3 linked regions of the Mus musculus genome follow. The protein of the gene in region 1 interacts with the protein of each later gene in a biochemical or structural test. Links are inferred from orthologs where the notes say so. Each region holds a gene or a part of one and is shown on either strand. Other genes may lie near its edges. The genes, in order: Map1lc3a, Atg7 and Phb2.

What was found.
Region 2: the proteins of Map1lc3a (region 1) and Atg7 form a complex in vitro, tested with the Homo sapiens proteins (2 studies listed by BioGRID, with this or other methods). The link is inferred for Mus musculus from reciprocal best matches to the Homo sapiens genes MAP1LC3A and ATG7.
Region 3: the proteins of Map1lc3a (region 1) and Phb2 form a complex in vitro, tested with the Homo sapiens proteins (2 studies listed by BioGRID). The link is inferred for Mus musculus from reciprocal best matches to the Homo sapiens genes MAP1LC3A and PHB2.

What each region holds. Positions count from the first base shown.
Region 1 is NC_000068.7:155,274,901-155,278,625, forward strand, and holds Map1lc3a (microtubule-associated proteins 1A/1B light chain 3A), read left to right. Parts: upstream 1-1,463; 5' UTR 1,464-1,706; coding exon 1,707-1,746; intron 1,747-2,057; coding exon 2,058-2,113; intron 2,114-2,197; coding exon 2,198-2,304; intron 2,305-2,574; coding exon 2,575-2,737; 3' UTR 2,738-3,173; downstream 3,174-3,725. Other genes in the region: Pigu (phosphatidylinositol glycan anchor biosynthesis class U protein precursor), read right to left, coding at 3,636-3,725. UniProt on the Homo sapiens protein: Ubiquitin-like modifier involved in formation of autophagosomal vacuoles (autophagosomes). While LC3s are involved in elongation of the phagophore membrane, the GABARAP/GATE-16 subfamily is essential for a later stage in autophagosome maturation.
Region 2 is NC_000072.6:114,642,275-114,645,986, forward strand, and holds the start of Atg7 (ubiquitin-like modifier-activating enzyme ATG7), read left to right. Parts: upstream 1-852; 5' UTR 853-876; intron 877-3,712. UniProt on the Homo sapiens protein: E1-like activating enzyme involved in the 2 ubiquitin-like systems required for cytoplasm to vacuole transport (Cvt) and autophagy.
Region 3 is NC_000072.6:124,711,057-124,714,802, reverse strand, and holds the start of Phb2 (prohibitin-2), read right to left. Parts: upstream 2,515-3,746; 5' UTR 2,367-2,514; coding exon 2,240-2,366; intron 2,100-2,239; coding exon 2,015-2,099; intron 1,742-2,014; coding exon 1,662-1,741; intron 820-1,661; coding exon 635-819; intron 1-634. Other genes in the region: Emg1 (ribosomal RNA small subunit methyltransferase NEP1), read left to right, coding at 2,760-2,927.

The sequences.
Region 1 (3,725 bases):
ATTTAGGGAAGTAATCCTACCGCCCCACCCTAATTTGGGGCTGCCACATACCAGGCATTGAGCTGCCTGGAGAAGGTAGAGATGGGATATAAGGCCTGGTTGAATCCCTTTGTAGGTGGAGCCTCTAGGATCTAACATATTCCGAAAATTGAACCCACATCCTCATGCTTGCGGGCAAGCACCCTACCTGACCAAGCAGACAATAATATCTTTCCAAACAAATCCAGCTCCCTAAGACATTTAAAAAGCAAAACAAAACCCAAAACACAAGGTCTCACTATCTAGACCAGGCTGGCCTTGAACTCAAGAGACCATCCCGTCTCTGCCCACAGAGCTGGGGTTAAGGAGGCACCGCCACCCAGCCTCTTTAAGGCAATCTCAGCTGAATTCTTGTTACCTTAGCAGCTTGTTTTTGTACCAATCACTACCATTTCTGTCCATAAGCAGTTGTTTAGAATTACTCAAGCGTGCATCTGTTAACTTGGTTCCCATCAAATTTCTTCCCTTTGAGCTGTATGTTTCTGAAGTACAAACTAACTTTTTTTTTCAAACAATGGTCCTTTGTAAATTCTTTTGTTTTATCTTTTTTCTTCCTTACTTCAACTCTAGCCCATCCTCCTGCCTCAAACTCCCATAGAGCTAGGACTACAAATGAGAGCCAGCTACATCTGGCATTGATTCTGGCTTTCAATCGATTTTTAAAGTTCTTCAAGGGGCCGCCTCTCCGTGTCCGTCCAGTCCCTCTATCCCCTCCACCTCCCGCAAAACCTGAGATACTGAACTTAAGCCTTCCATCTGCTAGGCAAGTATCCTACCCTGACCCTCGGTAACATTCCCAGACCATACTTCTTTCTATCCTACCAAGGGGCTCTACCTGTAAAATCTGACTTCGCGTGTTGTCAGTTCCGAATGTTCTCCATCTCATGGTTAACCACTTCTGATATAGCCCCCCCATTCAGCGATTCTCTCCTGCTTTATCTAAACCACCTATTAACCAACCTCACTCTGGAAATCTATGCTTTCTATGGTTGTTCCAGAATTCTTTGAAAGCCTGGGTGGGGGGTCTGGAGCAATGGTTCGACAATTAAGAGCCCTTGCTATTATTTCAGAGGACCTAAGCTTGATTCCCAGCAGTGCGATTAACTCCAGCCTAAGGAAATCCGATGCTATGTTCTGCATCCGCGGGCATACACTTACAGACACATTAAAAATTTTAAAACTCTGGGTGTTCCATCCTCTCCCCGCTCCACCTTCCTTCTCGAATGCTAAACTCGATGAAGGTGCGGTGAACTACTCCGCAGCGTCGAGAGACTGGATGGAGGCGACAAATGCCTGGCTTCTGAGTCTGTGGCGCCAAAGAGAGGAGCTTGCCATCGTGACGTCACAGAACTGTGACGCGCCCTGGAGCTCCGCCTCCTTACGACCTGCGCCGGGAATCCGGGCTGTCTGCGCCGTGGCGTCACAGGTCCAGGCAGGCGGGTTTTCCGTCGGCCCAATGGGAGCGGCGCGCCGGCCTCCCCTTTAAGGAATGTTGTGACCTGACGTCACCCAGGCGAGTTACCTCCCGCAGCCGCCACCGCCAGGCTCAGCGCGAGCCCCGCAGCCCTTGAGCTCGAGCCCCGGAGCCCCCGGCGCGCCGAACCGCAGACGCATCTCTGAGCCGCGCACCCCGGAGCCCCGGCTGCGCGCCCCGCCGGGCCCGCGCGATGCCCTCCGACCGGCCTTTCAAGCAGCGGCGCAGCTTCGGTGAGGCCCTGGGGGGCGAACTGCCATCGGGGATCGAGGGATGGGGGTGCCAGTCGACCCCGATTGCCGCAGGTGACGTCAGCCCCATGACGTCAGGCACCGGCCGGCCGGACCCCGGGTGGAGAGGCCGCAAGGCCTGGCAGGGTCGCCCGCCTCCCTACCGCGTCCCCCCGGTGGAGGGCTGCGGGGCCGACGGCCCCGGGGGCGGGCGCTGGGGCGGGGCGGGCCGGGAGCCGCCCCTCGGGGATCAGCGAGGCGGAGTCGCGGGAGGCCTCAGCACCGCTGGGCCTCACACAGAGCTCTGTCCGCAGCCGACCGCTGTAAGGAGGTGCAGCAGATCCGCGACCAGCACCCCAGTAAGATCCCGGTGAGTCTCTAGCACCCCCCAGCCACGCCCTGCCCTGCCAGGTCCCGCCCTTGGCTTACGAGTCCCCCGCCCACTCCACTCCAGGTGATCATCGAGCGCTACAAGGGTGAGAAGCAGCTGCCTGTCCTGGATAAGACCAAGTTTCTGGTCCCAGACCATGTTAACATGAGCGAGTTGGTCAAGATCATCCGGTGCGTGGGCAGCCTCCTACAGGCCTTGGGTGGGGCAGGGTCAGGTTCCACAAGAAGGGATGGAGTGGGGCGAGGGGACTGATTTGGGACACCGGGCCCCTGTTCTAGGAGGCTGGAAAAGACCAAGGTCGGGGTTGGGACGAGCTTCAGTAGAGGTGAGAGCCTCTGGCTGAGATGGACCGAAAGTGAAGGTTCAGTAACATTTTGGGAGGGTCACCTAGGCCTCCAGCAGGCAGCCTCCTCACCTGGCATGCCTGCCTGCCTCCACAGGCGCCGCCTGCAACTCAACCCCACGCAGGCCTTCTTCCTGCTGGTCAACCAGCACAGCATGGTGAGCGTCTCCACACCCATCGCTGACATCTATGAACAGGAGAAGGATGAAGACGGATTCCTCTACATGGTCTACGCCTCCCAAGAAACCTTCGGCTTCTGAGTCAAGAGGAGGGGAGGGGGGTGGCTGGGAGTTCTGGTCAGGTTCTCCCCAGGGAGGTCCTGGCTCCTAAACTAAGCTATTTCAGTCCCCAGTGGATTAGGCAGAGATGTGACACCCACTCCCCCCCCCAGGTAGGGGCCACCAGCCAGCCTACCACATCCTGGGTAGGTCCTGGGCCAGTCATGTTCGGGTTGCTCTTTTGGGTGCTGGCTGGGTTGGGAGTGGGTGGGGAGCAGCATCCCTGCTCTGTGGGGTTTGTCATTTTGTTAGGCCCTTGCCTGTCTGCCCATCTTGCCCCTCATCCACCTGAGGCTTTGCCTCCTGCCAGGACCTGCCCCACCCCTGAAAGGCTGGCTCCCCTTGTCCTGACTCGGTGTATGGATCTGTGGTCATTTCCTCTGCAGAAAGAATAAAGACTGCTCAGGCCTGCCTGGCCCTTTGCCTCCAGCTGCTTGTTTGGGAGCAGGGAGGGCTGCTAGGTGACTGTGTTCACACACAGAGACAGACGCGTGTTCCCAGAAACCCACTCCTTAGTACAGGATAGCACGTAGTATTAGGGGGCCAAGCTCACTCCACTCCAGGAATACATGTCATCAGAACAACAATGAAAAAAAAAAGATCCACACATTTATTAAGTAGTCACAACCTATAAAGCCCTGCTCACCGGCTGCTTCCTTTCTGTGCACAGTCACAAAGTGGGGGTCCAAGTGGGGTGCTCCTAGCTTCTCCCCATGGGCCTTGTTGCCAGCTATGAGTCCCCTTTGGTGCCAGAGATTTGTGACCCTGGACTTGAACTTCTTCTGCCTGAGGACGCGCCTGCTGGCAACTCTGGATGAGGGACCTGGCCCAGCTTCTGGCCCTTCCCCCTCTTGTCCATGCAGCGCTGTGCCAGCCAGGGCTACTTGAGCACAAGCATGGCCTCAGTGCCGTCCTTGGCAGTCAAGTAGAGGCCGTGTGTGAGGTAATACTCCCGCCGCAGGAAGGCATA
Region 2 (3,712 bases), on another chromosome or scaffold:
TTTGTTCGTTTTATTTGTTTGTTTGTTTTGTTTGAGATAGTGTAGCCCTGGCTGTCCCAGAACTCACTACTCACAGATCCACCTACCTCTGCCTCCCAAATGCTGGATTTTTTGTTTTGTTTTGTTTTGTTTTGTTTTTCGAGACAGGGTTTCTCTGTATAACTCTGGCTGTCCTGGAACTCACTTTGTAGACCAGGCTGGCCTTGAACTCAGAAATCTGCCTGCCTCTGCCTCCTGAGGGCTGGGATTAAAATCTTGTGCCACCACGCCCAGCCCAAATGCTGGAATTTAAGACATATCCCACACCGTCTGGCCCATATTAGGTTCTTAAGAAGTGATTTTATAGTCACTGAAGTTGCTGGCTGCAGTAGCTTGGTGGATATTTTAGATTCTATTTGGTTTTCCAGAGTTATATTTGGTTGGGCAAGCTTTTAATCCCAGCACTGGGGCAAAGCAAAGGTAAGCAATCTCTGTTAGTTCGAGACTAGACTGATGTATATGTATACAGGTCCAGAACAGCCATGGCTATGTAGTGTAAATATGAGGAGGACATAACCTTTTTAAAAAATTAAAAATGCAAAAAATAAAAATAAACCTTGTTTCAACACCTGTACTCTAGTACTACCCTGGGAATTTGATAATAATTCCGTAGTACTGTAGAGTCACTCGCAGGAAAATGTAATCTTCCTTACAAGCCCCAAAAGGCTTACAGGTTAGCCTTAGTTTCGCCCCGTTATTGCGGTTGTGGGGACCCTTTTTGTCGTTGTTGTTGTAGTGCGCATGCGCGCCGCGCTTCCGCGTTTGTGTGGGCTGGGTTATTACGTCATTGGGCCGCGCGGCGCGGCTGGGGCTGTGGTTGCCGGAAGTTGAGCGGCGGTAAGTAAGCCGTGGTTGCGGAGCAGCTGCCGGGGCTGGCGGGGTTCACTTAGGAAAGCTGAAGCCAGTTTTGGGCTGGTCTGGAATATTCTTCACCTGTCTATACTCGGTCCCCTCGTACTCCGGCAGAGAGTGTTGCGATCTCCGGGTCGGGAGGCGCCTCTGGTTGCTCATTCTGTGAAGTGCTGCCTTTGGCGTGTGTGGACCGGCCACGGAGTAAGCTTGTGTCCCCGGACTGTGAAGGGACTTGATCTTGTTACTTATGAGGAGGACATAATTAAATCTTTTCTACTAGAGGTTCTGCATCCCCTTAAAGGACCCAGAGATTACAAATTAGTACTTTATAGGAAATCAGCCTGGTGAGGCAAATGCACTTGTCAGAAAGTTTCTGAGCCAGGCATGGTCGCGGAGAGAGGTGACCCCAGCCGCAGGGAACCTGAGCCAAGAGAACTGCTATTTAGAACCAGCCTAGGCAATCGGACACAAACCCTTTTGCAAACTGGAAAACGGGTGTGGGATGTAGTTAAGTCCCAGAGCGGTTCTTCAGCGTTCCAGGGTCCTGGGTTCAATTACCAGCACATGCCAAATTGAATTTGAGATGAGACCGAATCAACCTGCGTCTGCAATTTTATTTAATTCTTTAAAATTATTTGTAACTTTGAGTGCGTGTATGCGTGTGTGGTCTCATGCCTCCAGAGACAAGACATGGCGGACCCCAGCAGAAGTGGAGCTCCAGGCAAGCTGTGCCTGATATGGGTGCTGGAAACCCTACCCAGGTCTTTGTAAGCACTGAGTCGAGTCAGCTTTCCAGTATAAATTAATTTATTTTTTTAAGACTGAATGCCATGCACCCCATGCTGTCTTTGAACACTCAGTGAAGCAGAGGCCGGCCTTTGAGTTTTTATATTTCTACTTCCACCTCCTTGAGTCCTGGGATTACAGGTGTGTACCACTACGCCTGTTTTTCTGATGTGTTCCTGCATGCTGGGCATCATAATATCATGGACTATTTATTGATTTTTTTTTTTTTTTTACATCCAGGGTTTCCTATTTCTAATGGATAAATTACAAGACGGTGTGTGTGTGTGTGTGTGTGTGTGTGTGTGTGTGTGTGTGTGTGCCTTATAGCTTATACAGGGGGGAAACAGGGGTAAACAAATGGAAAGTGGTTCCTGGGGAAAAAAAAAGAGACTTTGGAGTCATATTGACAGCAAATACTCTATCATCACCTCAGAGCTTCACTCCCATATCAGGCATCCTATTTATAAATCCTGGTCACAAATGTGCTTTCCCTTTCAAACGTGCTAATTTGGTGGCTTTTTATGTTGGTTTGACTTTGTCTTTCTTTTTTTAAAACCCATGTAACTGGTAAACAGACCTGTCTGCCTTGTAGACTTGAGGGCTCTGCCTCGGGCTTTTCCTTTCCCATAGACTGTTTATTTGTTTATTTTTTATTTTATTTTATTTTATTTATTTTTTTTTTTTGGCCTTGGTTTGTGAAAGCTCATGACTTCCTGTTGCTTCCAGCTTGCCTCCACCCAGTTCTTACTCAAAAAAGTCATGTGAGGAGTTAAGGACTGTGGCTTGCAGTCACAGCCCATTGCCCAATTAGAGTCATACTTGCTTTTAGTTGCCCCATGTGTATCTTTGAAAACTGCTAGACTGCCTTCCTCTCTCCTCTGTAGCTAAATGCACTTAGTTCTTTATAGTCAGTTCTACTGTGATACAAGACTTTTATATTATTAAATCCTAACATACAAAGCAGTGTCTGGTATATATGTTTAACAAATATGCATAGATATACCAAGTAAATGGCATACTTGAATACCAAATAAAAGACACATGCGAATGCCTATTATGTACCAGGCTTTATTTGTAAGTTAAGTGTCAGTGAATTGTACACTTTAAATGAGGTGGTAGTGATTATCTTTTTTTTTTTTTTTTTTTTTGTTTTTGTTTTTCAAGACAGGGTTTTCTGTGTAGCCCTGGCTGTCCTAGAACTCACTCTGTAGACCAGGTTGGCCTCGAATTCAGAAATCCGCCTGCCTCTGCCTCCGGAGTGCTGGGATTAAAGGCGTGCACCACCACACCCGGCTGGTAGTGATTATCTTAATCTCAGCACTTGAGAGGCTGAGGCAGAGAAAGCAGAGAAAGAAGGATTAAGAGTTCCACATGCTAGGTGTGGTGGTGCACACCTTTAATCCCAGCACTCTGGTGGATCTCCGAGTTCAAGGCCAGCCTCATCTACAGAATAAATTACAGGGGTAGCCAGTGCTATTCAGAGAGACCTTGTCTTTAAAAACCAAGAGATCAATCTTCTGATAGGCATAATTGTACAATCGTTTCATCTCAGTACCTTAGGAACTGGAGACCATCCTGATCTTCACAGTGGGGCTTTGTCTAAACAAATAAAAAAGTTGAGGCCTGGAGCAATGTTTCAGTGGCTTACCCATGCCATGCAAACACAAGGATCAGCGACCCAGAATCCTCATAAGTACCAGGTGGGCTTGATGACCTGTCTGTAATTTCAGCCTTGGAGGGTAGAGGCTGGCTGTGCAGAGCAAGCTGGCTAGCTAGACTAATGATATGGAATATTGATGAGTCCTGGGTCTGATTGAGAGACTGCTTCAATGGAACAAGGTGGAATGTGATGGAGGATGACTCCCAACTTCAACCTGGGCCTCCACAAGAATGTGCACATATGTGCACCCCTGTGCACATGTGCCCTCCCATAATGCAAACACGCATATACATACATGGACAACACAACCACATGAAAATGGACAAGGAACAAAGCCATCTTCAGCTGCATGCCTTGGTCAAGGCCAGCTTGGGC
Region 3 (3,746 bases), on another chromosome or scaffold:
GAGGCTTGGTTTGAGGGGATCAGAGAACTGGAAGGAAGGTGGTGGCATTGCTGTAACCATCTGAACACCGGAGCTCCTGAATATGGGCAGCAAACCCACCACTTAAGTCCTCAAACATTCACTAGAAAAAACTTGGTTCCATTTCTTCCTGTGACAGCCGTGGCATCACCAGACTGCCCCACATCACACTGAGACCTAATCTCTTCTTTTCAGTTTATGCATCTCTTTAGTTTCCAGTTAACGGAGGAAGACCTTCTGTGGAGATGTAAGGCAATACTGCCACTTTCTGTACTATGCTTCCTTCTTAGGGTCGACTGGTGTCAGGTTCTACCGTTTTTCTCCTCATTTCCCACAGTCACAGCACAGCTTTCCCACAGTCCATGCAGCTAAGGATAACCTTAAACCCCTGATCCCCTTGCCTCTACCTCGAGTGCTAGGATTACAGGCATGTGCCACACCTGGTTTAAGCAATGCTTGAGAATAAAACCAGGGCTTGTGCATGTTAGGCAAGTACATATCAACTGAACTACAGATCCGTCCCACCCCATCCCGAAATACCTTCTTTCAGTACCCAGTAACCCTGACCAAGGAGAGACACAGGCTGCCGCCGTGCAGACAGTGATAGGAGTCAGACCTGAGCCCGCTGGGTGATCAGCTGCGAGGCATTGAACTTGGCCACCACACTCTTGAGCACCTCATTAACAATGGACGGCAGCACTCGCTCCTCATAGTCCAGCCCTAGACGCTGGTACATGCTGGGGAGCTCCTGGGCATTGGGTCGGGACAGCACACGCAGGGAGATGTTCACCATCTGCAGGTCTGAGGGAAGAGGTCAGCAGTGGCCGCCGGGTAAGGCCAAATTCCCCCTTTTCCAGCGCTTTCTCCTAGGAGTGCTTCCCACCATGCCTAGTGTTACTGTACAGCCTAGCACTCCAGCAGGAAGATAGTCATGTCAACACAGAGCATGTGAACAACATGGATGGGCGAGGCAGACCCTTGTTTACTGTGGAATCTTTTCTATGGACCTTCCACCAGTACAGCTATTTTTTTTTTTTTTTAATAAATTGCTACTCCTCCTCCAAAGTGGATTCCACCAAGCAGCATAATCTTGGGTTTCCCCCTTGCCATTAGGGCCTTGAGAACCAGAACTGTGTTTTATTTCCAAGGCCTATGGCTTAGCAAACGCATAAACCACACACACCACAAACAGCAACAGAGAAGCACACTTCTGTGGGCTACTTGCCTCGGTGTGTACATGGGAATGAGGCCCAGGCTTGGGGAATCTCAAAGGCAGGCCTTCTAACTATGGTCTACAGGGCAACAGCTAGTGAAGAGTGGGGGCACTTTCTCCAGAGCAAGGTGTACTGTGGATGTAATCAACAAATCAACAGAAAAAAAAAAAGGCCTTAAAAACAGACTTGGACCTAGGCAGCCAGGAAGAAAGGCAACTCTTATCCCTTTTATGCTAGGCAGAAGGTAACGTTAAAACGTGCATGCATGCCAAGTACTGGAATGCACCGTTTTTTGAACCGTGAGGCATGGCTCTTTTGCAGACGTAGAAACCAAGACCTCAGAAACACAACCAATTCTGGCAGCCTGGCCAGGCTCATTTTACATTTGTTTCCCCACGTGCCCTGAGGCTCCCAGTTGCCCACGTTTACCTTTGGAGCCTGTGGGGGAGGAGATTTTTCGAGGTCTGGCCCGAATGTCATAGATGATGGGGTACTGGAACCAGGGGATCCTGGAGAGGAGAGGTCATGGACAGGAGTTGGGAAACTGCAGTTTTATTGATTTTGATGGTTCCCCTCACCACTCGTCCTTGGGCCTGTTCCTCCCCACGACCACAAGGACTCTTCCCAGTCGAGAACAGCCCTTTATGCATTGCTGGAGTTTCAGGCAGCCACTGTCCTCAAGAGCAGGCGTGAGGAAGGGGTAAAGCAGCTCCGAATTGTTAAGTCTGGCTGCAGCCGTCAAGGGTGAAGGGTCAGGGCCTGTTCGCTCTGCCCGCCATTACCTGAAGTGAAGGCCTTCGGCCAGGATCGTGTCCTGCTGCACGCCACCAATACGATTAAAAAAGATGGCTCTATGACCGCCTTCCACTGCGGAGAGAGGGGTGGGAGTCAGGGCAGGCTACTGGCCCGAGTGCTGGTCAGCGTAGGTGGGACGGGGACACCTGGGGGATAGCAGGACCGTGGGTCTGGGGACCGCAACGTCCGGCCAGCGGAAGGAGGCTGCTCACCGGTGAACACGGATTCGCGGACGCCGTAGGCCACCGCCCCGGCCCCCAGCAGCAGCTTCAGCGCCGTGCCCATGCCCCGAGGCCCGGCGGGCAGGCGTCCAGCTAAGTCCTTCAAGTTCTGGGCCATGTCTGATCCTCCCGAAGGCGGCGGCGGCGGCACCAGCGGTCAGGAGGGGGTGCCCGCCAGCCTCTGCCCCGCTCCAGCTTACAGACCTCGCCTTGCACACGAGGATCGGCGGCCTTAGAGCTCGCGGGAGAAAGGGCACCGGAAGTGCGCCTCCCTCCGGACCCGCCCCCCTCCGCCCGGGCGGCCCTGAACTCCGCGCACAGGAATGGCGCATCCGGAAGTCCCGCCTCTTGGTGGGGGGGAATGGTGTGCCCTCCCGGAGAGGCTTCCGTACGGGCATCGCCATTTTCGAGCGCCCTCTTTCAAAATGGCAGCTCGAAGGAAGTTGGCCGTGAGGACGGACGTGAAGTTCTAACTTAAGGACTTCGGTGCAACTTCCGGTCTGCCTACAAGATGTCTGCGGCCAGTGGTGGCTTCCAACCTCGTGAGCGGCGATTTTCAGTGCAGGAGCAGGACTGGGAGACTACGCCGCCTAAGAAGCTCCGGCTTGGGGCAGGAAGCAAGTGCGGAGGCCGGAGGCTCATTGTGGTGCTGGAAGGGGCCAGTCTGGAGACAGTCAAGGTAGTTTTGAACAGTGAGTGCGGAGGTAGGGAATTGATGGATCAGATTGTGTGGGAACCAGGGCCGCAGAGTGCATGGAAAAGCGGAGCCTTGAAATTTGCTCTGGAAGAATGACCTAGTTTTCCAGGCTGTTGATATCCTGGGGGTAGTCCTTTTGCTCTGGACTTTCATTTCAGCCCTCGCCTTGCTTTTAGTTGACTTATCACGGAGTCTGTGATGTATAATGCAAAATGAGGGAAGCATTGTCTATTGAGGGTTCCCACGTTTCCAAAGGCCAGTGACTTCCCCAGCCTTTTACTACCAAGGACTTGATGCTTTATTTTGTTAAATGGGGCTTGACTGGCAGCTTGTTCTGTATTTACCTATTCTGAAGTATGTCTGGATCAGATTATTTAAAAAGCCTTTGTCTTTGCTTTTTTACCCTCCCCCTTAAATATTTACTTTACCTTTATTTATGCATGCAAGTCTGCATGTGGCCATGAGCCACCTCATGAAGGTGCTAGGAACCTAACTTGAGTCTTATACAAGAAAGTTTGTGCCATCTCTCCAGCCCCCTCCTTCCTTCCTTCTTTCTTTCTTTTTTTCTTTTTGTTTTTTTGAGACAGGGTTACTCTGTATAGCCCTGGCTGTCCTGGAACTCACTTTAGACCACGATGGCCTCAAACTCAGAAATCTGCCTGCCTCTGCCTCCCGAGTGCTGGGATTAAAGGCGTGCGCCACCACCGCCCGGCTCCTTCCTTCTTTTGTATGTCTTGCCTTTCAGAGCTAAACTTGTTCAATGTGTAGGCCCAGAAGTTCCCTCCCAAACTCCTGCTCCCC